Linked DNA regions of Coturnix japonica. The protein of the gene in region 3 binds, or shares a complex with, the protein of the main gene of each other region. Links are inferred from orthologs where the notes say so. Each region holds a gene or a part of one and is shown on either strand. Other genes may lie near its edges.

What was found.
Region 1: the proteins of EPS15 (region 3) and STON2 are in contact, whole or in part, in an NMR structure (PDB 2JXC), measured with the Homo sapiens proteins. The link is inferred for Coturnix japonica from reciprocal best matches to the Homo sapiens genes EPS15 and STON2. Residues at the interface, in NP_001972.1 of Homo sapiens: Leu139, Gly148, Lys152, Pro153, Val154, Leu155, Leu156, Asn157, Ser158, Lys159, Val162, Asp163, Leu165, Gly166, Arg167, Trp169, Glu170, His176, Gly178, Met189, Val192, Tyr193, Leu196, Glu197, Lys198; in NP_001353779.1 of Homo sapiens: Trp309, Arg310, Ala311, Thr312, Asn313, Pro314, Phe315, Glu318, Gln321, Asp322, Gln324, Pro325, Ser326, Ile328, Asn329, Pro330, Phe331, Phe334, Phe335, Glu337, Gln338, Glu339, Arg340.
Region 2: the proteins of EPS15 (region 3) and AP2A2 are in contact, whole or in part, in a crystal structure (PDB 1KYU), measured with the Mus musculus proteins. The link is inferred for Coturnix japonica from reciprocal best matches to the Homo sapiens genes EPS15 and AP2A2. Residues at the interface, in NP_031969.1 of Mus musculus: Asp629, Pro630, Phe631, Lys632; in XP_006536218.1 of Mus musculus: Phe442, Phe443, Trp446, Lys447, Asp487, Pro488, Val494, Arg511.

The regions. Positions count from the first base shown.
Region 1 is NC_029520.1:37,157,457-37,165,585, reverse strand, and holds the start of STON2 (stonin-2), read left to right. Parts: upstream 1-2,768; 5' UTR 2,769-2,880; intron 2,881-7,281; exon of another isoform or gene 7,282-7,437; intron 7,438-8,129. UniProt on the Homo sapiens protein: Adapter protein involved in endocytic machinery. Involved in the synaptic vesicle recycling. May facilitate clathrin-coated vesicle uncoating.
Region 2 is NC_029520.1:9,440,091-9,448,115, forward strand, and holds the start of AP2A2 (AP-2 complex subunit alpha-2), read left to right. Parts: upstream 1-2,836; 5' UTR 2,837-2,957; coding exon 2,958-3,024; intron 3,025-8,025. UniProt on the Homo sapiens protein: Component of the adaptor protein complex 2 (AP-2). Adaptor protein complexes function in protein transport via transport vesicles in different membrane traffic pathways.
Region 3 is NC_029523.1:21,489,197-21,496,615, reverse strand, and holds part of EPS15 (epidermal growth factor receptor substrate 15), read left to right. Parts: intron 1-3,027; coding exon 3,028-3,189; intron 3,190-3,814; coding exon 3,815-4,012; intron 4,013-4,323; coding exon 4,324-4,521; intron 4,522-5,053; coding exon 5,054-5,131; intron 5,132-5,384; coding exon 5,385-5,475; intron 5,476-6,736; coding exon 6,737-6,772; intron 6,773-7,419. UniProt on the Homo sapiens protein: Involved in cell growth regulation. May be involved in the regulation of mitogenic signals and control of cell proliferation. Involved in the internalization of ligand-inducible receptors of the receptor tyrosine kinase (RTK) type, in particular EGFR.

The DNA.
Region 1 (8,129 bases), on a different chromosome or scaffold from region 3:
GTTAACGCATATCTCTGAGTTAACTATTTTAGTGAATATGACAGTATATTAACTGTTTTCCTGTATGTTGACTTTAAAAGCCCCTGAAACTTTGCTCTTCACTATTTTTGTCATTCTTGGTTCATAAATTCATGAGAGACATTTTTAAATGCTTCTGGTGTATGTTCAGCCTTATAAAACATAGCTCTTATCTATTTATGTTTTGGCTCAAAACTGAAAACCTCTGTGGTAAATACTGAAAGTGAATAGTTGGAGGAAAATAAATCACTTTATGAACTAAAAGTAAAGTCCCTTCTTAAACTTCTCTAATGTAGCATCTCATTAGTTGGTGGAGAGCTCTGTGGTACTGTGAGATTTTTCTGCAGCTACAGGAAGGAAGTTTTCAAGTCATATGAATGAATTTCTTTGCAGTTTTCAACTGTCCTTGCACTTCTCACTTTCACAATGAAACATTTAATGCTTCCTATTTCTTACACTGACCATAGCACTTATAGCTCTACTATTCCACAAACTTCTCATTTGCTTACATCACAGCCATCTCTGTGGCTACTGATTACAGTAGTTTACTCTTAGATAATGAAACAAAGATGTCTGGATACCTGAGCAAAACCTTTTCTTCTGAAAATGCCCAGTCTATGATTAGGAAATGAAGGTGATAGCTTGTCTTAAAGGAAACAGCACCTTTTTGCAGAGTTATTGGATTTAAACTGACCTCTCATGTGCATCCTTTTTTATACAAGGCAAGGAAGTTAAGCAAGCAATATTGTGTATTTTATCTTACTGCTCTGTGTACTCTCAAGCTCTGGGCTGAGGCACATGCTTGAATGTGTGGCTGTATTCTGTGGGATGTGGTGTAAACAGGTGAGTGAAGTACAGATTTATTTATTTAGTGGCAGGTGCACATTGGTGTTTAAAACATAAGTAGTTCTGTCTGTGCTTCCATACAGTTCTGAGACTGGCTTCTGCTGGGGTGCTACAAGGGCTTAAATCACTCACCAGAGGTTACAATGGCATTTCCTTTCTTAATGAAATATATTTCACCTGGCGAACTGACGTAACTCAGTTAAATCTGCAGAGAAACTTGCTTGAGAATCATTGTTTTGGGTGGGAATAAAGGAGCTTAATTAAGATTTTTTATTATTAATTATTTTTTATAATGCAATGCAGTATTATCTTTAAAATGAAATAACCACAGAATCACAGAACAGCCTGGGTTGGAAGGGGACCTCAAGGATCATGGATCTCCAACCCTGCTACCACAGGCAGGGCATATAATACTAGGACATATAATACTAGATCAGGCTGCCCAGACCCCCATCCAACCTGGCCTTGGGCACCTCCAGGGATGAATGGGGCATCCACAGCCTCTCTGGACAGCCTGTTCCAGAACCTCACCACTGTTATAATAAGGAGTATCCCCCTGATACCCAACCTAAATCTTCTCTCCTTCAACTTAAAATCATTTCCCCTTTGAAAATATCCATATTAAAAAAGAAAAAGCACAAAACCTCATTGCTGAGTGAAAAAAAAAAAAAAAGAAAGAAAGAAAAAGTAGGAGTGTGTGTACTTAAATAGGATTCAGACTGATTCTTGCCTTTAGCTGGTCAGTACCTCTGTTTATTGTTATGATCTATGTTATGATCTCTAACCCTGTAGTCTCATCTGCTAAATTTGCCTGCATCACAGATCAGAATACCAGGAGGAGAATACTGTATTTCTATGGCTAATATGCAACATTATGGTATATACCAGAAAACTGAGGGACACAACCTTTGTTCTTCAAATCCAAGCTATCTGAAGTAGGCAGACAAGGCTCTTCGGAGTGTTTGAATTAAAAATAAATTTTAAAAACCCCTACTTTGATGAGAGGAGAAAAAAAGTATATTCTAACTTCTTACTGAAGACCGCTGACCGCTCCTGCTACCATGCTTACAGCCTCAGTGCTACTGAGTAAAGTTAACCTATAATGGCTAATTCTGATCCTGTCTGGAAGACACAAAGAAGTAAAAAAGAAGAAATGAGGCTCAAGGCTTGACCAGAACCGGGAAGGGGCTGACAGTTTCTGCAGTCCCTTGGAGCATGGATCTCTGCCAGCAGTGAACTGTGCGTAGCCTCTTTGGGAACTTACGCAGGATAAGCTTTGGTGGAGGTGAACCAGCTGCGCCCTCTGCCGCGCGCGGTGCTTTACAGGGTGGCCCTGTGCTGCTGCTGCTCCTTTGAGAATTCCTGGTTCGGCAACAGCTCTTGTCAGGTGAGCTGGTTTTAAACTTACAGAACTTATTCATCTATTTATTTATTTTGCCTTCAGTGACTCCGGTACTAATTAAGGCTGTTAGGATTTGCATGATTATAGCGTTTACGGTTATTAACATTTTTCAGCTTGCAAGCTCCAATTTGCAAGGAAGCTCTTCGGTAAGTGGTGCTTCCTCAGTTCGCAGGAACAATTCTTCAAAGCTGCTGAGGGGCGCGGTGCGTGCACGAGCACCTGCGCGTGTGTTTGTACGCGGTGCCCGTGAGCGTGTCCCCAAGTTGCCTTTCGTTAAAAGCCTCGGCACTGAGATGAGGCTAAAAATTACAGCCTGCATACGCTCATTTGCGACCTCCCTGGGGCTCCCCCTCGCTACAGGTCGGCACCAACGCTGAGCCGCTGCCAGGGAAAGGCGGAGCAGCAGCTCCCGCGGCCAATGCGGAGGCGATGCCGCCGCCCCCCGCGCCGCCGGGGAGCGCCCAATGGCGGCGGCCCCGCACTGCCGGTGTCCCGGTGGGGCGGGCCGGGGGCCGCGCAGAGTGCACCGCCTCCTCCTTCTCCTCCCCCTCCCCCGGCTGTGCCGTGCTCACGGCGGGCGGCGGCTTCGAGGAGCAGCAGCTGCACCCCCGCAGGTAGGTGGTCGGCTGCACGTCGCGGCAGGTCGAGGGAAGGTGGGAGCTGGAGCTGGACTCGGTTCAGGTGGCCCCGGGCCGGGAGCTGGGGTGTCTGCCTTCCCCGGGTGTGTTCTCTGCTGGCTGAGCTTCCCTCGAGCACCGCTTTGCTCTCGTAGAGCTGAGACTCGCCCCCTGTTGTGGTGCTTTTTCCCGCTGGGCTCGTAGTATTGCTCCTCGGTGTGGCCGTTTGGGCCGTGTTCGGCCAGCCCTCCTCGTTTCCCGCACCCTTCTGCATCGCTGCTGGTGTGGGGGAGTGTTGGCAGCGCTGCCCGGTGCCCCGCGTAGGAGCGTTCCCTTGTCCGTACCGCCCCGCGCTGTGTGCTGGAAGGTTAATGAGTGCTGGGAGTAGCGCAGGGAAGCAGTCCGCATCCACCTGCCCCTCCGCTGCTCCGGGCAATTACTCACGGGTTGGGTTTTTCCTTTCTTCATTCTACGGAACTCTGACGCGTTGTCAGTTGCTTTCTCATGTTAAGATAGTAAGAAGGAAAGAGAACTTGCCGATCATCTTTCCATAGTCTATTTCAAGTACCATTGGTAAATTATAGGCTATAAAGGCACAAAGTACATATTTCCATGCCAAGTGAGTTTTTATGCCAGCATACGATCAGAAACGGCTCTCTGCAGCTCGCTTGCTTGTTCTGTGAGCTACATCCCTGTCTTTGCTGGAGCTCTACTTCTCTCCACTGATCCTTGTTCTGTTGATTTACATGCTGTAAGTGGGCACAACTTCTCACCTTCAGGCCCATTATATCATCTTTTCTTTAGTCCGTAGTTTTTCAATGAAAAGCAGAGTTAAAATAAAATAAACCAGACTCCTTCACTGTTGCTTTACAGCTCCATTCTGCAGAACCTCCTGGGCCATTTGATGATAACTGTCTAACAGTCAGCATACAGGATTGGTTGGAGGGCAGGACTGAATTCTGAGTAACCTGATCAAGCTATAGGTGTCCCTGCTTATTGCAAGGGAGTTGGACTGGATAGCCTTGAAGGATCCTTTCAAACAGTTCTGTGTGTCTATATGATTTCTAGTTTTGTCAAGGCAAAAATCTGGCAAACAAGAGCATTTCATTGCTTGTGAATCATCCGATTAATTCTTGCCTGCTGTGAATTTGCATCTTGTACACTTACCAGTTTGGGCATGCAAGCTTCAAAATGTTGGCTGCTCATGTTCCCCAGTGTGTTTGTCTTCAGTTTCTTTTTTCCTTTCTCTGCTCATCTTGAATAATACACATGTGGGCTATGGAGTTTGCCTTAATATTTGGCAGTTAAACGAGTTTGTTATTGGATCAAGTTTGTGTTATGAAAAAGCACAATGATGTGATCCTCACCTTTAGTGGGTTCTATGACGTGGTGTTTTGCAACACCTGCTCCTGGGGGTGTGGGGTCACTGTCCCTGGAGGGACGCGGTTAGTGGGTATGGTGGTGATGGATTGATGGTTGGACTGGATGATCTTAGAAATCTTTTCCAACCGTAATATTTCTAGGGTTCTAACTGATTATAATATGAAGTGGTGTTTGTTATGAATTAGATTGGATCTGTGATATCGTGCTTCGGTCAGGTGATAATCTCTGCTTTTTTCCATACAGCATTACAATTATTTTGTGATACTCCTATGAAACCCCTAGGCACTAAGCAAGTCACAGTAGTTCCCTAGGATGTAATGCCTCATTTTGCATGCATTTAGAAATACAGCTGGCTGCTCCAGTGATAAGTGGTCTTTTATAGTCCTGGCTTTTAAATCATCTTTAAAATGTGAAAACTATCAAGAACTGACCATTAAATGTCTGAGAAGAGAAATGGGCTGTTTTATTGTTGTTCTTGTGTGGATTTTTTTCTCACATGTTGCACTGCATCTTGGTTCTGGCTGGCTGTGTAGCCACTTACGATTCACGTTCTCAGTTCTAATTATCGCTTCCCAGAACACCTTGTTAACTGCAGATCTTCTTCCTATGAGTTCCTGGGAACTGCAGTTATGCCAGTGGCATAATTCATGCTCTGTTGTGTGTTTGGTTTGAATAAAAGTCCAAGGGTTGCAATGTAAGGAAGCAGCAACTGCATCTTCCTGGGACTGGTTTTGACTCCTGAGCATCCACTGGTGCTCCTTACAGCTTTTGGGAAGGCAGTTCAGCTACTGATGTTGTTCACTGCTGGGAAATCCAGACTGTGTGTGGGTTAAGCCATATTGTACGTGGGCTAAATACATCATGTTTAGAGCTCTTCATTTTCAGCTATCTCGAGTCTGGCATCAGCAAACGAGAGGTTTGTAACAGATTTCAATGCTGTTTCTCATCCTCAAGATGTTCGACTCTGTGAGGCTTCTGTCACCTGTTGTAGCAGTGGCTTTTCCCTTCAGCACAGTGCTTACCAAGGCAGAACCAACCACTACATGACCGTGGAGCTTTAATCCTCTTGCCTCAATGCTGCTCCTTGCAACACCATGGCCTCAGGCAGTTTTTGGCCCCAATGTTGCACCAAGGCTTTCTGCAAAGCACTTGTGGGTCTGAGCCTCAAGAACTGTTCAGGTTTGTGCCCCTCGCTACAAAAAAAACACACTGAAGCCTTTGCAGCAGTGACAACCTTGTCTTTGAAAATGGAAAAACTTAAATAGTTATGAAAAACAACAACAGAAACACAGTCAGGAGAGTAGTTATACATCTGTAAGGTTTCATGTGGTGACAACAATCTTGTAATGTAATCTTGCTATGTAGAAGTTGGATGTATATGAGCTAATTCCCTAAGAGTGCTCTTCTGTCAGCCTGGAAAGGAGAGCCCTTGGAAGGAAATTCTCCAGCATTTTTTCTGAATTGCTTGTGTTATTTAAAATGAGAAAAATTCATAAAACACCCAATGACAAAATCAGATGGTTTTTGTTCTCTGATTTCTTAGCATGTTTTCTTTGCAGTTTAACCTTGCTGGGTAGTACTGTAAAGGACTGCAAGTTCTGCTAATGGATAAAATCATTTTACAACCACTAACCTCAAGGGAGGAGTGCCTGTCTATGTGTGCATTAGGATGAGTGTATTTGTCTTCAGTGCTGTGCCTGTGAGCAGGTGCATTTGGATCCTGGGCAGCACAACTGGAAGCCTGTAGCTCATACATCTGAGAACTTCCCCGGATCAGTGTGTAAGTCTTTGAAAGTGTGCTGCAATTCCATCTAAGCGTGTCTATACAGATGCAATTGCTGCCCAAATAGGGTTTATGAATTCCTTATGTGCTGCTGATATCTTTTTTTTTTTTCTTTTCCGCTGTTCATCTTTTAAATGTGCAGATAAGATGAACTCTGTGTATGATCCCACCACTTTCAAAATGGCAGGGTATAAAAATCCTGATAGGAATTGGGGAAAATAAGTCTGAGGAAGAGCCATGGGTGCATATGCATTAGTGTGTTAAAACAGGAATGTACTTCTGCAGTGAACGTCCAGTAATCCACTCTTGTTGCACTTTTCATATCAGAATGCATCAACAGGTTTCATTACAGATGAAACCAAGCCAGAGGACAAATCGCTCTGGGGACTCGCATAATGTTCTCCAAGTGCTAATTCCCTCCACAGGATCTGATTGGAGATTACTTTTTAGAGGCTTCTACTTCAAGTTATGCGTTGTCTCTCTTAATGCCAAGTATTTCACCCTACATCTCTACTCTTGCTGAAAGGGTACCATAAACTTATGTATAATATAACATATGTTATATACGTGTATATAATCTTTTTCATTTTATTTTTTTTTAATTTAACATAATCCTTGATGTATATTTAAACAAAATTATGAGGGAAACAAACACCAGAAAATAAAATTTAAAAAGAAAAGGTTAAGGTACAAGATAACATTAATGCATCTGCTCCTTGGATAGCAACAGAGACAAATGGTGCTTTATGAATAGAAAATACTTTCATAGCAAGTAGGTTGCTGAAATATGTGTGTTTCTTAAACATAAGCTCTGTATGTCTGGTGGAAGGGAGCCATGAATTAAAGAGTTTTTGCTGTCGGCCATGCCTGAAATCCTTCAGTGTGTGCTTTGCTTGATGCAAAGCATTTCCTAAAATGCTGGAAAAAAAAAAAAAAAAAAGAAGAAGAAAAAGTGACAATTGTGAATTTTTACAATGTTATTTGTGACTAAGATTCAGGTGCCCTGGCTTAGGTGTGCAAAAGACTCGCAAGCCTAAGTGAGTTGCCATGGGTCATCACATGGGGAGGATTCACCTTGTTCTAAAATAGACCAGACGAAGGGTTCTCTGGAGGTGTCATCTTCCATCCACTGACTATAAACAGAGCATCAGATGACTATCTTAGATGTTGAACTCTGGTGTCCGGAGTTGAGTGAAATGTGATTCATCTCCATTTATTAAGGTAACTGAACTCAGTGTCTCAGCACAATTCCTTTGACTTGAAGTTAAGGACAGAATTGGCCAATAGGCTTCAAGATTTGATGAAGGTGCTGTAGCCATCCACAGCTCTCTCATCCCCAAGGAGCAGCCGGTGTGCTCTGGAGCTGAGGTCCCCATCAGACCTATCTGGTAAGCTGGAGAACTCAGATCTGGTTTTGTAGGGTTATTACTTGTTTTTTTTTATGCTTTTCTGGCCAAGATCTAGCTGGCATTTATAGATGTGAATATTTATAGAAGCTAATTATCTCCTTAGGATCTTGAGGTTGCCAGCTGTGAGATGAAATGAAAGCCTTACCTCTAATTTGCTCTTGAAAATGGGGAGGGTATATGATATAGCAATTTTTCTTCTCCCACTGTCTAGAGCAGAGGCCTCTTGTGAACAGAAAGTACCATTTTGCTGAACTGTGCAGTGGTTTTGTGGTCATGTGGGTGACTGAAATGCATGGAAAAAACAGTGCTAAATGTTTTCAAAGGGAATCAGTATTACTAGCTGTATAACTGAAACCTGAGCTGGTCAAGCTCCATTGCACAAAGCTGGTTTGTTTTCTATTAAAGTGGTTTGAGTGGAGCAGCTATGGGGAGGAATTTGGAGTATGAAGTTTAATGGTTAGTTGCTTTTTAATTACCAGCTGCTCCTTAGGATGGGAACTTGCAACCAGAAATGTTCCTTCTTCTCTGGTCCTAGACATATTGTTTCCAGGTCACTGAAGTTCATGTATTTACCTGACTAAAAATTATATCCCATATGCAAAAATTATATGTGGTGAAAGCATCAGACCTACAGTTTAAATGTCATTCCAACTTATAAAGTACGTGGGCTC
Region 2 (8,025 bases), on a different chromosome or scaffold from region 3:
ATTAACCCTTATTTTAACTTGTCCAAGCTCTTTGAGTGTAACTATTCTGTTTTACACTTCTGTATAAACATAGTAGAGTGCATAACTCTTTCAGTCATTGAGTTGCCCACTGTATAGAAGAGATTTAGGCAAATCCATACCTGAAAATTGAGATAGATTTCATGATAGTGGTGTTATCCGAGCTTTGTGCTTCTTAATCTTAAAAGCAAAGTATCTGATATTCTGACATGGCAGAAGGCATTACTGATAAACCTATACTCTCCATCCATAGATAATGAACTTGAGATGTCAGGTAGATTAACAAGATCGAGTACACTTGAGTAGGAGCCACAAATTCTGTTTTCTCTTTAGCTGTTTTTCCTTCCAGTATGGTTAGAATGACCATGAGGGGGAGAAGAAAGCAGTAACTGATGAAGTGAGGGACAATCCTGTCAAAAATAACAAAGGGAAAATAAGAATTTCCTTCTTCTGTGTAGAAATTCATTACAGAGGTACAAAGAGCTGGCAACACGGCTCTATACCACAGTGTGTGACTTCATATCCTAAACACAGTGCTGTCCAAATTATTCTGGAGTGTGATTTTGGCAGACACTCACATAGGGCTGAAGAGTAGCTGTAGGTGGCAGAATAGCTGTGGCAGTACTAAACACAGCATGGACAGTAAATCCTGCTGGCTGTTGGATGATTTCTGGTGTTGAAATTCCTCATAATTATATGTAATCACACTCAAAATTCAATCATGTTTTGGCTGTAGAAACCAAATAGGAATTGAAACTGCAAAGCACTTAAAGCTCCAGAACAAGAGTTAAACTCTGTCTGTAAATTAGCACTCAGCTTTAAGGCAGAGAAGAAATGCAGTGGAAGCTGTACTTCCCACAAACAGACACCAGCTGAAAACCACCAACTTACTAATATTAGTTTTTATAAAGATCAGACTAATTTTTCGAAGTCTTTATACCAAATTGTGTTGGAATTCTGAAGAAGATTAAAGGAACTTATGGATGGCAAAATGCATGGTAGATACTCAAAAGTCAGTAAAAGGAGGTGAATGTAAAATGACTACATAATGTATAGTGTGCACTAAGTTAGAATTGAAATGATTGACTACTGAAAAACCCCAAAGGAGTTCTCTATTTGTGTATTTGCTTTTCAAGCACAGTCACAACTGACACTGCTCCCTCTTTAAAGGTAGTTTTAAGCATGCCTGCACAACTTGCAGCTGCAGTGACAGGAATGCAGCCACACAGGACTGATGCACTCGGCCTTTAGGTGTCACTCTGCTTTTTAAGAGTAGATATTATTAGTTCAACATTTTATTTTGGCTAACTCAAACACAAGTATGTTTGTGTGTTTGTTTGAGAAAGATTTCTATTTTTGAAGTCTTGTGGTTTGAAGATTGTTGTTATGCATCCAGTCTGATTGTAAAGCTATGAATTAAGTCAATTCTTTTCATGTAAGCCTCCATATGCAGGGAATCTGTATCAAGACTGGTTGTGCACAAGAAAATGGATACAGTGATGACTACCAGATATTGCAATCTTCTCTTTGGAATGGATACACAATAACAAAGCACTGGTGTAAAAATGTATCCTGAAAACACACGGAAAAGACCATTGAGAGATGACCTATGCCATATATACAGCCATTACCAGAAAATATTATGTGGGTCTTGCTACATGAGGTTAAAGTGTATCATTATTTGGAGGCACTGAAGCTTTACAAGTTTAAGATGCAAGCTTTAAGAACAGAACATAAAACTACAGGAACAAACTACCCAGGGAAACACTGAAACTGGTGGTTTCAGATCAGGGTTGTATGCCTTTCTAGAAGACAGTCCGCAGCTAAAATCTAATTACTGGTCTCAATTCAGGCAAAAATAAATAAATAAAAGCAAATGGGAAAGAAAAGGAAAAGATGAAGGTGTAGATGAAAATTATCAGCTTGAAGGATGCAAGAAAACATTAAATGAGCAGTCTCTAGTATTCCTTAATGCTTATAGAGGTCTTTATAATGCATTAAGTATGCTGAACCTCTCAACACACTGTTGTTTAGGCATACTAGGTCAGTTTTGATGCTCTTTGAATCTATTTCCAGCTGATGAGATTAAATGCTCCATGCAGTCCAAATTCTCTGGTGTGGGACTGTGTTGCTCTGCTTGGTTGTGATCTTCAGAAGAAGCATGTCTTGCGCACCTGCATGCCCTGGTAGCCAGAAGAGTAGTGAAGAGCCACACATAATTCAGGTCAACTGTATTGACCTCATTGCAGCCTTTCAATACTTGAAGGGAACTTACTCCCAGGAGGGGAGTAAACTCTTCAAAAGGGCTGACAATAGCAGGACATGGGGAAATTGTTTTAAGTTAAAAGAGGGAAGATTTAGGTTGGATGTTAGGGGGAAGTTCTTCACTAGGAGAGTGGTTAGGCCCTGGAACAGGCTGCCCAGGGAGGTTGTGGATGCCACGTCCTTGGAGGTGTTCAAGGCCAGGTTGGACGGGGCCCTGGGCAACCTGATCTAGTAAATGTGTGTGTTTGGTGGCACTGCCAGGCAGGGGGTTGGAACTACATGATCCTTGAGGTCCCTTCCAACCCGGGTCATTCTGTGATTCTGTGACAGGGCTTAGGGCCTACAGTCGGGGCCTATTTGTCCTGATGGCCGTGGAGGGATATTAAGGCTCAGCAGCACAGCTGCGGGGGGGCGGGCGGATGATCGGGCCTCTGCGGGAACGGCCGAGGGGCTGCGGGAGAGGGCAGGGCCGCTGCGGAGCTGCCTCCGCTCGGCAGGGGGCGCCACAGCCACGCCCGCTGCCGCCCGCGGGGGCGCGGGAGCCACCCCGGCGCATGCGCGCTGCAGAGGCGGCGGCTGCAGCGGCCTGAAGAGCCCCGCGGGGTGAGCGGGCGGCGGCGGTGGTAGTTGCGGTGGTTCGGCGTGTCGCTGGGCGGCCCTGATCGCGCGCCACGATGCCGGCGGTGTCGAAGGGCGATGGGATGCGAGGCCTGGCCGTCTTCATCTCCGATATCCGGAACTGTGAGTGGCGGCTGAGGCGCGGCGGGGCCTGGGCTGAACGGGGCCGGGCCGGCGGTCGTTGGGGGCTGTTGTGCTTCGGGTCGGGGCGTTCGTCCCTCATCCGACTCCCCTGTCACCTCCCCGGTGCTTTTCCCTTCTCCCTCCCTCGCAGCGAGCCGCTCTCGGTGATCTACTCACGAAATGGCGACGCGCCCCAGGGGGCGGCGGGAGATGCGGGGGGGGGGGGGGGTGATGAGACAGGAGGCTTTCCATGCGGGAGTGGGGGTTATTTGCGTGTGTATATCGTCGGTTCGGTGCTTCCTTCTCCCCCGCGGTCCCATTTGTTGGGGGAGACAGAGAGAGGAGGTCGATGCCCATCGTTGGAGTGAGGCCGGGGTGGGTGGGTGGGCTTGTGCCGTGCCGCGGGGAGCATCGCGGGTCTCCCTGACCTGCCGGCGGCTGGCGATGCTCAGAGGCACCGTAGGAAAGCAGCAGGCCTCTGCTGGGCCTTCGCTGGCTGTGTTTACGCTTGGCTTAAGCCGCCTTTAAAATTCTGGTTTGACGGAAGACAGCTCTTGGGATTTGCTCAGTAAAAAAAAAAAAACGGATAAAGAGGGCTGCCGGTAGGTGCCCCCTAAGGGATGGGGATGCGACGTCCTTGTATAGGGCATTCTATAGGGAGAGGAGGGGGAGGAGGCTGCTGCTTGGAGGGGGTTGTGGAGGCTAGGGGGTACTTGGCACCCTCCCCTGCCGTGGGAATGGCAGGTGAGAGTAGGTTAATATTAATCTGAGTTAGAGATCTAAGTGTGCAATGTGGCAAGAATTGCCTGGGGAAGGGCTAAGGTCGCTGTGGTTGGTGTGATGAAACGGCTATATGTTTTGTCCACCGGTGTGTCTCTAGGCGGCTATTCTAAAAGGATTGGCACCAAAGTCTCCACTCTGAAGGATGGAAGTGGATTTGGTGGCTGTTCAGAGTGCAAGTTATGGTGCTCTGGGCTTGTATTGGGATAACCAAACTGGCTTGGAGAAGGCTCCTGCTTCAGAGGGCTTTGTGTTGATGGCTTTGGAATTATTCCAGGAGTAACAGAAAAGGCTGCAGAGCAAATTCAACCAATGACATGACACCTCTTAGATGTGCAGTTTTATTCAACTAAATTCAGGTGATTTGGACTTACAGTCATGTAAACAGGAACCGTTGCATGTAAATTTAAGGTCCTGGATCTTCTTAACAGCAGAGGTTTTCTGAACTGAGTTGCAAATCCTTGGATACCTCCTGTAAGCCGCCTTCTGCATGTACAGAACATGTTCATCAGTTCAAGACAACTTTGGTGCTCTTGAGCTTTTTCTGGTTGACCCAGATGTTTCCTGGAGATCTGCAAGTATATTACTATGTTATGCCTGCTACATTTGTAACAGTTTCACCTTGTCATCCAATTTATGCCTGTCATTCTTGTAACTGTTGTTTTGGGATGACTTCTTTCATCTCTTTGGCTAGAAGCACTATGGTTTCTGTTCATCAAATATCTCTTACGTCTTGCTATTGCTTAACACGTTTCTCCTCTCTTATATTCACTTCTATTGGATTTCTCTGAAAACAAGAAAATAGTCAAGCTCTGGGGGTACCTAGCCTATGTTAAAGGATGTGGAATAAGAAGATTGGAGGTAGAAGGATAGAACAAATTAGCTACTGATTTCCTCACAGACTTTCCATTTTGTAAGCAGCGCAGGAATGGATGGAACAACCATCTCTGTTCGATTTGAGTAACAAACCATTCATGCTAGCAGTGTCTGCAAGAGTAGCAAAGATGTAACTAATTTGTGAAACAAATAAGGTGTTAACCCTTTATCGTTCAAACCTACGAAGATGGTTCTGGATTGTTTTGTCTCTGTTGAGGCTGCAATTTGTAGGTTGTAATTACCCCTCTGTATCTTTCTCATCTTCATAATGAAGGTAATGCATCTTCTAAATCTAAATAGTTGTGAAAGAGCTGGTATTTCCCACCAGTAGGTGATCTGTGGTAGCTATTCAATGGCATCTGAATCTTTACTGTTTAGAGAGATTTAAGTGTTGCTGGTTAACCATGGGCTGTTGTATCTAAGATTCCCAAATATACTTAAGAGCACTCTCTAGAAACGTTGTGCTTTACAAGCACTGGTACTGGCTTGAGTTCCACCTTTCCCTTTTCAGAGCAGATATTTGTCGAGAACAAAAAGAAACCGCTGTTCAGTTAAGCAAGATCTTTTGACATGCGAAATAAGAAAATGTTCCTGTTCTGGATGGGAGGGAAGCTGGACACCAAGTGCAGCTGACACTTGTACTGATGTGAAAAATACCTGCTGGCAGTCCCAATTTTCATCTTACTTTTGGCTTTGACTCATTTATCTCTTCTGTAATTCTGCCATATATGACTGAAGTTTGAATTTGTCTGCAGCCCCTTCAGATTATAATGTAAGACTCTTTCTGAAAGACTTTACACAGATAGAGAATTTGCATCGTAGTTGTTGCTGAATATTGAAAATGTAGATATATGTGAACTGTGCTTAGGTGGATGCAGAGCATGTTTCCAAGGTAACAGCATAAAACTTTCAAGAGACGCTTACATAAATTCAGAGCTTTTCTTTTTAGAAATGCTTCGTCATGCAGCAACTTTTATTTCTTGGGCATTTGTACCTACAGTGTCTGTGGCTCTAAACAATGTATCATTCTGTTACAAGTATATTAAATTACTGATCTGGGAGTAATGCCTGTCTTGTCTATCCATTTTTACAAGTCCATTGCAGTGCTTCAAAAATGATCTTTGACAGCAGTTTTTGGTTCTTACAACTAATAGCTGAATGCAAGTGAGTAACAGCTGATGTTGCCTGTCTCTATTTAACAATTAAAAGTTGTGGGTCCCATGTCAACTAAGCATGTTTCTGGCACCTGAGTTATCTGCTTATCTGATAAACTTCTTGATCTCTGTGTTAAAAGCTTGTATGACAGATGTTCTTTGAATATAAGAATGACTTTATATGTGATTTTTATTTTTATTTTTTTTAAAGTCTGCTTACAGTAGACAAGAAAACTGAGTGCTCAACTAAAGCACTTAGTTAAGATAGTGCAGGTAGTTAGCTCTTATTTAATGTGGTTTGCTGAGAAAGTAGCAAGTCATGGCTGTACTGTAAAATAGATTGTGATGGTAGTGGAGCTCGAGCACTGAATCATGGTTCAGTGAAGTGCCATCCAGACTTTAAAGTTCCAATTTGGTGAAGCTCTCATCGCTGCTGCCCTGATGAAGTACCTTATGAGCTAAAGCCCATATAGGATCTCTGTGTGTTATGGATACTGTTCCTTTTCCTTTGGGCTGTATTTATTTTTTTCCTTAGATAAAAACTAGCAGGTGGATTGAAGTTCTATCTCCTCACATAGAGTTATTTCATTAATTCTAATTCTTACTGGATGGTAAGAGGGAGAAAAAAGTTGGTAAAGATGATAATTAGTAGATGAGAGCTGAGATCATTTGTGTAACATCCAACTTCTCCATTAGAGTCACTGGTATCTGCTGAATTTGAAATCCTTTGGATAATGGCTGCTCATCAGGACCAGTAAGAGGAAGTTTAAGACTACTGCAGAGAATACTGCATTGTTTGCATCACTAAATGAGCACATATAGGCTTGTTTTGCTAAGGTTGCTGGAATAGTCCTATTTAGCTGTGATGGTTAAACTGGGTGACTTTGTATAAGCCTCACACTGTTCTCCTGTTATTTGAATGTATACTAAGGTGGGAAAGAGTCCACAGTGTAATCCCTCGGTGCAAATACTGCCTTATTCTGCTGAAGGGGAGTGTAAGTCTACTGTGTAAAAATACTGTTCAAGAAAATGTTTTTTTAAGTACTGATCAGGCAAAGAAGGAGGAAGAGCTGCTTTCCATAACGGCCTTCTATTGTACTTCTGTTTTTGCATATCATCTTAGCTTGAAGCTTTCTTTTGATAGGAGTCGGTGTCTTCTTGCCAACTGAACTGCCAAATGGATGTTGCAGTTGTCATAATGTCACTAAGATACAAGCATCCAGGAAGTTTTCACTTCATATGGGGGAATGCTGGGTGAAAGCCTTAATGCTTGACCCTACTACAGACTGGTTTTCTGAACGTGTGATGCCTGTTTAGACAAAAAAAAAGCAAAAAAGCAAAAAAGCATCCATGTTGAACGCTTAAGATGATTAAACTCATACTGAACTACAGCAACTAGAGCATCTGAATTGTAATGGGATTTGGAAGCCGCTGTTTGCTCTCTTTTACCCCCTCCCTTTCCTTCCAAGGACAAGGAGTTAATAGATTACTGGATTACGGTAAAGCCTGTGACTTCCTGCTGTTTCATGAGAAGTGTTGTTATAGTGACAAACCAGCGTTGGAGGAAAAAGTAACTTATGTGCATATTAGTCCTCTTAAAGTGCAACATATTAGAAGCGTGCACTACCGTGTTTTAAATGTGCTCAGTGACGCTGATCTCTTTGACTGTTGCAATATATATCTAATCACATCAGGATGTCCCAAAGCACAATGGTTTTCATCAGTCTCTGTGCCACTGCAGACTTGTTTTTCTGGAGAGAAGGAAAGGAGAAGAGATATACGCTTTTTCCTCTGATAGAATGTATCATGTGGAAGGACAGCATCTATTCACCTTTTTCTTCATAGCAGGATTTTATCACTAAATAATTGAGCAAAAAGCTTCTTGTTCTGCAGCCTCAGTCAATTTTAGTAAAAGAACTGAAGCCATACTAACATCTTGCAAAGGTACAGTATTTTTCAGTAGTGTCTTTAGATTAGATGCATGGTGGGTTTGGTCTGTAAGCAGCACAACCTGCATCCAACTTCAGGTATAGTCCAGTGGACCTGTGTTTTGCAGCTCTGTCAAAAAACTTCTGCTAGTTTAGCCCAATGGAGGAATTCAGACAGGCTAGCTCACCTAAAGCCAGGTGTACAGCAAACAGACCACTCCACTGCTCAGCTGTGTAACCTACCTCCTTTCAGCCCTCTCATC
Region 3 (7,419 bases):
AAATAAAACACCTGCCACTAGCATTGTGAGGCATAAAATGTTACAGTGTTAGTGAGTTCTTATGTCTATTTTGTATTCTTTGATAGTCAGCAGCATCACAGAATCAATGAAATCATTGTATCCGGAGCAGTTGTGTTCAAAACAACTGTCTTAGATCTTTAACCTCTTAGTGATCACATAAGCTATTTGTATCCTGCTAAATATAATGAGTTCTCTGTCTGTGAAGCAGTCTATTGCTGACATGTCAGAAAAATGGGAACCCATCAGGATCAGATGGGGTATGACTCCAGCATTCGTTTGAGCTCATGGCTCTCTGTCTCTGGTCTCCTTGTTCCTTAATGTTGGAGGACCCACATGTTACATGAAACTTTCTAGAACTTCACAGAATAGCAGTGGCAGATAAAGAATATCTTTACATCCTGTTGTTTGGTTATTGTTTTTTTCTGATGTTCTTATGGTAATATTTCTAAAGATGGTTTGCACAAACTGTGTTGTAACCTGCCACTTTTGACCAAGCTAATGTGGTGGCATCACATGGAGGGGTTCATGATACCAGGATTATATCCACTGACATAAATTATAATCTCACAAAGGCTTGTGAACAGTTCTACATGGGGGAAGAGATAGAAAATTGTTTTCCCCTGTGAAATAATGTATGTGCTGTACAAATAGAGTCTAAGGGGAAGAGATGGAAAAAGAGTTGTAGGGAAAACATAACAAACTGATATTTTCTAATGCTTATTAAAGTGTTATCAGCACTGATTAAAGGCTGTTTTTTTCATAAGAGATAATGAGTAGAATAGCAAAGATTGAGAAACTGAGGCATTTTTTAATTTATTCTGTGATGGAGTTTTCATTTTCTTATAAATAACAGAGATAAGAAACTCAGATACAAGATGTTCTTGTCAGAAGATAATTCAGTTTTACAGAGTTGATGTATCACTAAAACACTAATTTTTGACCACACAAGTATCATTTCAAAGCATCCCCTTGTGCTGTCACCAAGCTGCTCATCAAGACCCAAGTGCTGGTTGGAGCACAGAGTGCCTCAGCCAGTAGGCAGTGCCTCAAGTTATGGGGTTATTTCCACATTCCCAAGGCTCAAATCCTCCATCACGCACTTTACATGTGTATGTGTATGGATTCTTAGTGTGTCTGCAGAGACTCTGAAATAAATGGTGATTGTTCTGGCTTTCCCAACTATGATTGGGAAAGAATACCTAGAATAAAATTCCCTAGAGTTCTACTGACATGAAGTCAATAGGTCTGTTTCCAGTTTTAAGTGGAATATTGAAGGTTTTTTTTGAACAAACCTGTGGAACTCCTGGAAAAAAAAAAAAAAAAAAAAAGCACAATTTATGTTTGTATCTATGGAGGTAAGGAAATCTATTTTGGAGATATCAGGTATAGTCAGGTCTCCTCAGTGCTTCTCTATGGCTGTGGCTAGTGCAGACATTGGGAGTCAACAGAAACAGTAGCAAGACTGGAAGTCATTTATATTTAGCTTGTTTCTGTGTGTGACTGAAAGGAGCTGTTATTTCCATCCCTCAGCCTGGTTGTTATGTTGAGAGTCAGATGGTATTTGTATTCAAAGTCATGAAAAAACAGAATGGATCAGGATGCTTTCCCAGTTGTCCAAGTCACTTGATGCTGTCAGAGCTTTTTGCATATACTGATTTATTTTCCATAAATCAGAAGCAATCAACAATTCATCTAGTCTGGCTGCTGTAGGTTAGGCATAAAATTTAAGCTCTTAATCCTGAAGTAGTTGAATGGATTTTGATTTTTTCTTTGAATAAAATAATTGGGTTTTTTATTAGGTGGTCTTCTGATTGTCCTGAGGTTCCCCATTTTGCTGAGCATCTGACTGCTGCGCCATATACATTTGTTTCCATCTCTTTTTGTCCTGATTAACTGGAGGTGTTAACAGATATGGATTTACCGTCTCCCCTTGTTTAAAAAAAGATAGTAATTTAAAGAAATCACCTAAAAATGACAACAGACTCTTGCCTTAGAACAGTACAGAAATACATGATCTTATCAGAATTTAATGTCAGCTTTTTTTCTGACTGTCCTAAATTTTCTTTAATCTCTCTTTCTTTATTTATTTTTGAATATGATTCTTCATTCAATTGCTTTCTTTTTTTTTTTTTTTTTTTTTTTTTTAGAAAGACTGCAGTCTTCTCTCATCAAATGCTTCTGTAATAATCCTTTTTTGATCCCTCTGTATTACTTCTTCTTGACTTTGACAGTTTTTGCTAGATTCTTGTCTTGGATGTTGTTTTTTTTCCCAGTGTTATCTCTGCAGTTTGAAGTACAACCATTATTGTTGCTCAGAAATGAACTAATGAACTAATTACCATATGATGCTACTTTCTGTATCTTATATTTTATTCACAGCTGTTCCCTAGAACAAAACATGCCATGTTTTCATATATGGAACATACATTTCTTACCAGGACTGTTACTTGGAAACAAAAAAGAGTTGGGGTGATTTCAGCAAAAATTGGAGGCAGGGGAAATCATTTGGATTAATAAGGCACTGATTTTTTTCTTCACCTTGCTACTAAAATGAGTTTGTATTGTTGGTGTGTGTTTCTGAGGGGAAAGGAACATAATAAAGAATTCAGTTACTGAGGAGCTCAATAAAACTTATTGCTAAAATATAGAAGAGAGAATGTAGCAGCCTAAACAAAGGATGACTTCTGGATTCAGAAATGAAGCTTGCCTCCCACTGATTATGTAGTTGTAATCTCTGATTAGTGGTATGATCTTCAGTGTTTCAATGAAATTTTAATGTATTGGGTTGTTTTTGTGGTTTTTTTTTTTTTTTAATGAAAGAAAAAGCAAATAACTATTTTTCTCTTAGAATTAAAGCTTGTGTGATGCACGTGAAATATTAGCCTTTGAAAGGTAACACGTTGATACTCTGAAATCTGACTGATCATCACCACAATTTATACTATGAAAGTTAATGATCAGAGGAGGAGCAGTGAACAAAGGCAAAGCTAATCTGTTCTATCACAGGATCTACAAGATGAAGTAAAACGGGAGAGCAGTAATCTGCAAAAGCTGCAAGCTCAGAAACAGGAAGCACAGGAAATACTCAATGATCTTGATGAGCAGAAGGCCAAGTTGGAAGAGCAACTCAATGATATCAGGCAGAAATGTGCAGAGGAGGCCCACTTGGTAAGGTCTAGTTAGTGGCTTCAGCCCTTAAGGAGAACTGCTGCATTTTGAATATTGCATGCTTGCAGTGTGTTGTGGTGGTTGGGAAAGGAGAAAAATCTTTCAAGATTAAACAGGCTGAGTTTCAGGATTTTGTGACCAGCAGAGACATCAGTTATTTCACTGACTTCTTTATGTCTCAGTGCGCCAACAACTGCAATAAGATATGTTTGCACACATGTAAGGTTGTGTACAAACAAATGACATAAATGTGTAACACAATGTATATGTAACTAGAAACACTAATTACCAGGACTGATTTCTTGGGATTTAAAAAAAAAAAAATTCTAACATAAAATTTCAGAGTTGGTTTTGTTGTGGTTTTTATATATATATATATATCTTTACTATTAGTAATATTTGTATTGGTCAGGAAAACAGCTTAATCTCATTGGGACAAATAGCAAATTAATCTTCTGGTAGAGTATGGTCTGAAATCTCTGCTATAGCTGGTCATAAATCTGGTCATAAATCCTAGCCTTTGCTGGATATATTTGGAGGTGTGGGATATTTTTGGTGTGGTGATGTTGGTTGTTGTTGTTGTTGTTTTCCTAATTTGGCTTTGGAATCCTTGTTTATGCTTTAGATTGCCATGCTGAAAGCTGAAATAACAAGCCAGGAGACAAAGATATCAGCATATGAAGATGAACTGACCAAAGCTCAAGAGGAGCTGAGTCGTCTGCAGCAAGAAACTGCAGAGCTTGAGCATTGCATAGAGTCTGGGAAAGCACAGCTGGGACCTCTTCAGCAACATCTGCAAGATTCACAACAGGAAATCAATTCGGTAAGGCACTGTGAAAAGGGAGGGGGAAAAAAAAAAGGAAAAATAATAATTTAAAATACAAAAAACAGGAAAAAAATGCCAGTGATCACCAGCAGTATGGCCAGCTTCCTTGGCACAGCAGATTCTCAGGTCTACCATATCTCTTCTAGATTAGTTTTGTAGTTCTCTATGAAATTCTATAGTTATATTGTACTTGATTTTGCATGAGAATTACAGCTATATACCTTCCATCTCACATTTAAGAAGGTTAAGTTGTATTCTAGTTTCCATGTACTACTGCGCTGATACACATGCATTATTTCCATTTACAGGTGCAGACAAAACTTCTTGAGCTGAAAGAACTGGAAAGTAACCAATTTAGTTGGCACTCTCAGCCACAGAATGTACTTGTTAATGGAACTGCGGATCATTCTAGTCTCAGCAACAGCAGCAGCGAAACTGCTAACCTTAATGAGAATGCTGAAAGGGAAAGCATAGCTGAAGATGAACAAATAAACAACGTATCCCCAGTGAGTAAAGTGTTTTGCCTGTGTAATTGTGATGCAATGCAGCTGTGAAGTTGGAATAAATTAAGAATGTATTAAGATTGATTGTATTTTGTTTTTAAGCATTTGCAAAGTGAGCTTTCAGGATGTTATTCTGAGGGAGTATTCCAGAGATCTGGAAGTTGATAAGAAAGAAACAGAAAAAGAGGCAACAGAATTCTTTTTGTGCATTTGTTTCCAAAGCTAAATGTCATAAATTGAAGAGCAAAATTAATGTTAAATATGAGCAGCTGTTTCCAATTGGTGCAGCAGAAATAGAATGAAGAATAGTACAGAAATCTGAATGCTGTCTTGCTATTTAAATGTCTATTTTCTTTGTCTCAATTTATCAAACACTTCAGTGTTTTCTAAGTATGAACCTCTTGAGGTATCCTTTAGTATATCCTTACAACAGTTTGGTACTTAAAATGGAGTAAGCAGTGTAGTGCTCTATAAAATGGAGTAAGCAGTGTAGTGTTCTGTTTACTTACATTGAATTGCTTTTATCCTTACGTAGCCAAGAAATAGTCCTGAAACAACAACTGCTGCTGCAGAAGAAGACAAAGAGACTCCAGCTGGAACTGTTACAAGAAAAGTGAGTTTGTTCAAATTTAAGGGAGGAAGAAATGAATGTAAAAACAAAAAAACCCACAAAATAACTAGGGCATGATGCCACAAATGCATTCATCTTATATAGCAGGTTGATTTTTACTGGGGAATGCTGTGGCTCTCTGTTGAGTCTTGATGAATTCAAACTCATTTCAGCTTTAAGAAGTTAATAAATGATAAGAGAATGAGATAAATGTCTCAGACTTCACACCTTTCTTTGCTTCTTTTGGGTTCTTCAGGAGGATCCATTTGATGCTGAATCTCACCCATTGCCTGATATAGTTTCTGAAGCAAGCTTAGAGTTCTTCCAGTCCGACCCTTTTGTTGGCAGTAAGTACACTCTTCTCTCCAAAAATGTGACAGATTAAACTTCTAGTCTTTATGAAATAAATGTGAAAGTACTTGAGTGACAAGAGCCAACAGCAGTACAGAAATATAAATGAGAGTTCTACGGTGTATCTCTTTGCTTTACCTGTGTGGTTTTTTTTCTCTGAGTGCCTCTTTTATTTTTTTCCCCTCTGGAGGTCTCATTTTGGTATTAAAGGTGTGGGCATACTTGTGATACATGTGGTGTCAGTGATCTAATTTGCAGCACAGAGTCACAAACAGGTCATCTGAGGGTTCAGTGAACTGTGGTGTGGGGAGAGTGTGGGTGGCTGAGAGTGAATGGCTGTGGCCTACTTATGGCAAGTTAGGCACTCAAAAAAAGATAATGTGGAACTGTACCATCTGTTCATCTGTGGAAGTGCTATGCTTTATTTTAAGAACTTGCCGCTCAAGAATTCTGTTGCTCCAGTTTTTTTTCTTATAACATTGGAAGGAGTGATCTGTCTGCATAGAGACACTTGGAATATGGGAAGAGTTAATTTGGATTAACTGTTGAAGCAGATGTATGCAGCTAAATAAGCTAAATTTATTTTGCATCACTTGGCTTCTAAAAGATTGCCAATGAAGATTTAGGCTCTAGTTCACCTTTTTCAATTAAAAAGTTGTTCTAAAACTTCAAAGATTTTATTGTGGTTTTTTTTTTTTTTGTTCATATTGAAGTAGTCCTGCTTATGGGACATAACAGCCTTCCTTTCAGAGGAGAAAGATATGTCAGTTAATCAGTCTTCTGGATTTTGTGTGCTCAGTTTGTTTAGAGGTAGATATCTAGAGCTGTAAGACCTTATATATGTGAACTGAGGGAATATACTGATGCATATATATATACTTGCATCCAGTATAGAAATGAACACTTGACGGCTACTATCCACAGTGTCTCTGAGAATTAACAAAAGTGGCACTAAGTTTCCATCAGTAGTTAGCCTGTGTTACTGTGGTGTAAATACTGCACAATGTGGGTCTTCACTGAGAACAGCCAACAGAGATGCCTTTTTCAGATGACTGTTATTGTGCGCTTCGTGCTGCTAATAAATTATGTGATGAATATTTGCTTTGTTATCAGCTCTTGTTCCACTAAAAATAATAAAACAGTTCCTCTGAGTGAGGGCAATTCTAGCTCTAGAAACTTGTTTCTGTGGAAAAGACTTCAACTCAGTACACAAGCTTTATGCTTTAAAATCCACAAGTCACTTTTTCCTTTCAACAGGTGATCCCTTCAAAGATGACCCTTTTGGGAAAATTGGTGAGCAACTTTGTAACTTCTAATGCTTCTTTTCTTGTTCTTTTTCTTTTTTTTTTTCTTTTTTGTAAATGATTCCTAGTAGAACAGTACTTTGGAGGAAAAGTGTCACCGCTTACAGTGTGAAAAAGGTGGTAGTGATTTGAAAAGTCACTGTAGGATGGATATATAGCAGTAGCAGCTGCCCACTTGTGTTAAACCTTTTCAGAGAAGCCTGTTCCCTAGGAACTTCTCTCTTGCTTTTGAAAGTATTCTTAGTGAGGATTTAAATATATGGAGGTGGTAAATGGAAGGCCTCAAATTCAAAGAATGTTTTGTTTGCAGAGGAATAGGACTGTTCTCTTAAAGACTCTTAATTCAGCAACTTTCTGTAGCACAAATATTGAAGAAGATGGGAAGATCTGTTGAGACTGTTTCTTTAAGCAATGTTGTTGCATTACTTGCTCAGTTTTACCAGTGGCAAAAAGGAAATGGGGAGTGGGAAGGCTACGGCAAAACAGCATGGTGCACCCTGTGTCAAATAAGGAAACATCAGTTATGTTGAGGGAGTGAAGGAGAAGAAAATATGAAAGTTCTGAAAATGATTAGTTTATATAAAAATGTTTCTTTGTAAGGGAGCTGAGTTAGAGAAGCTATATATTTACATGGTT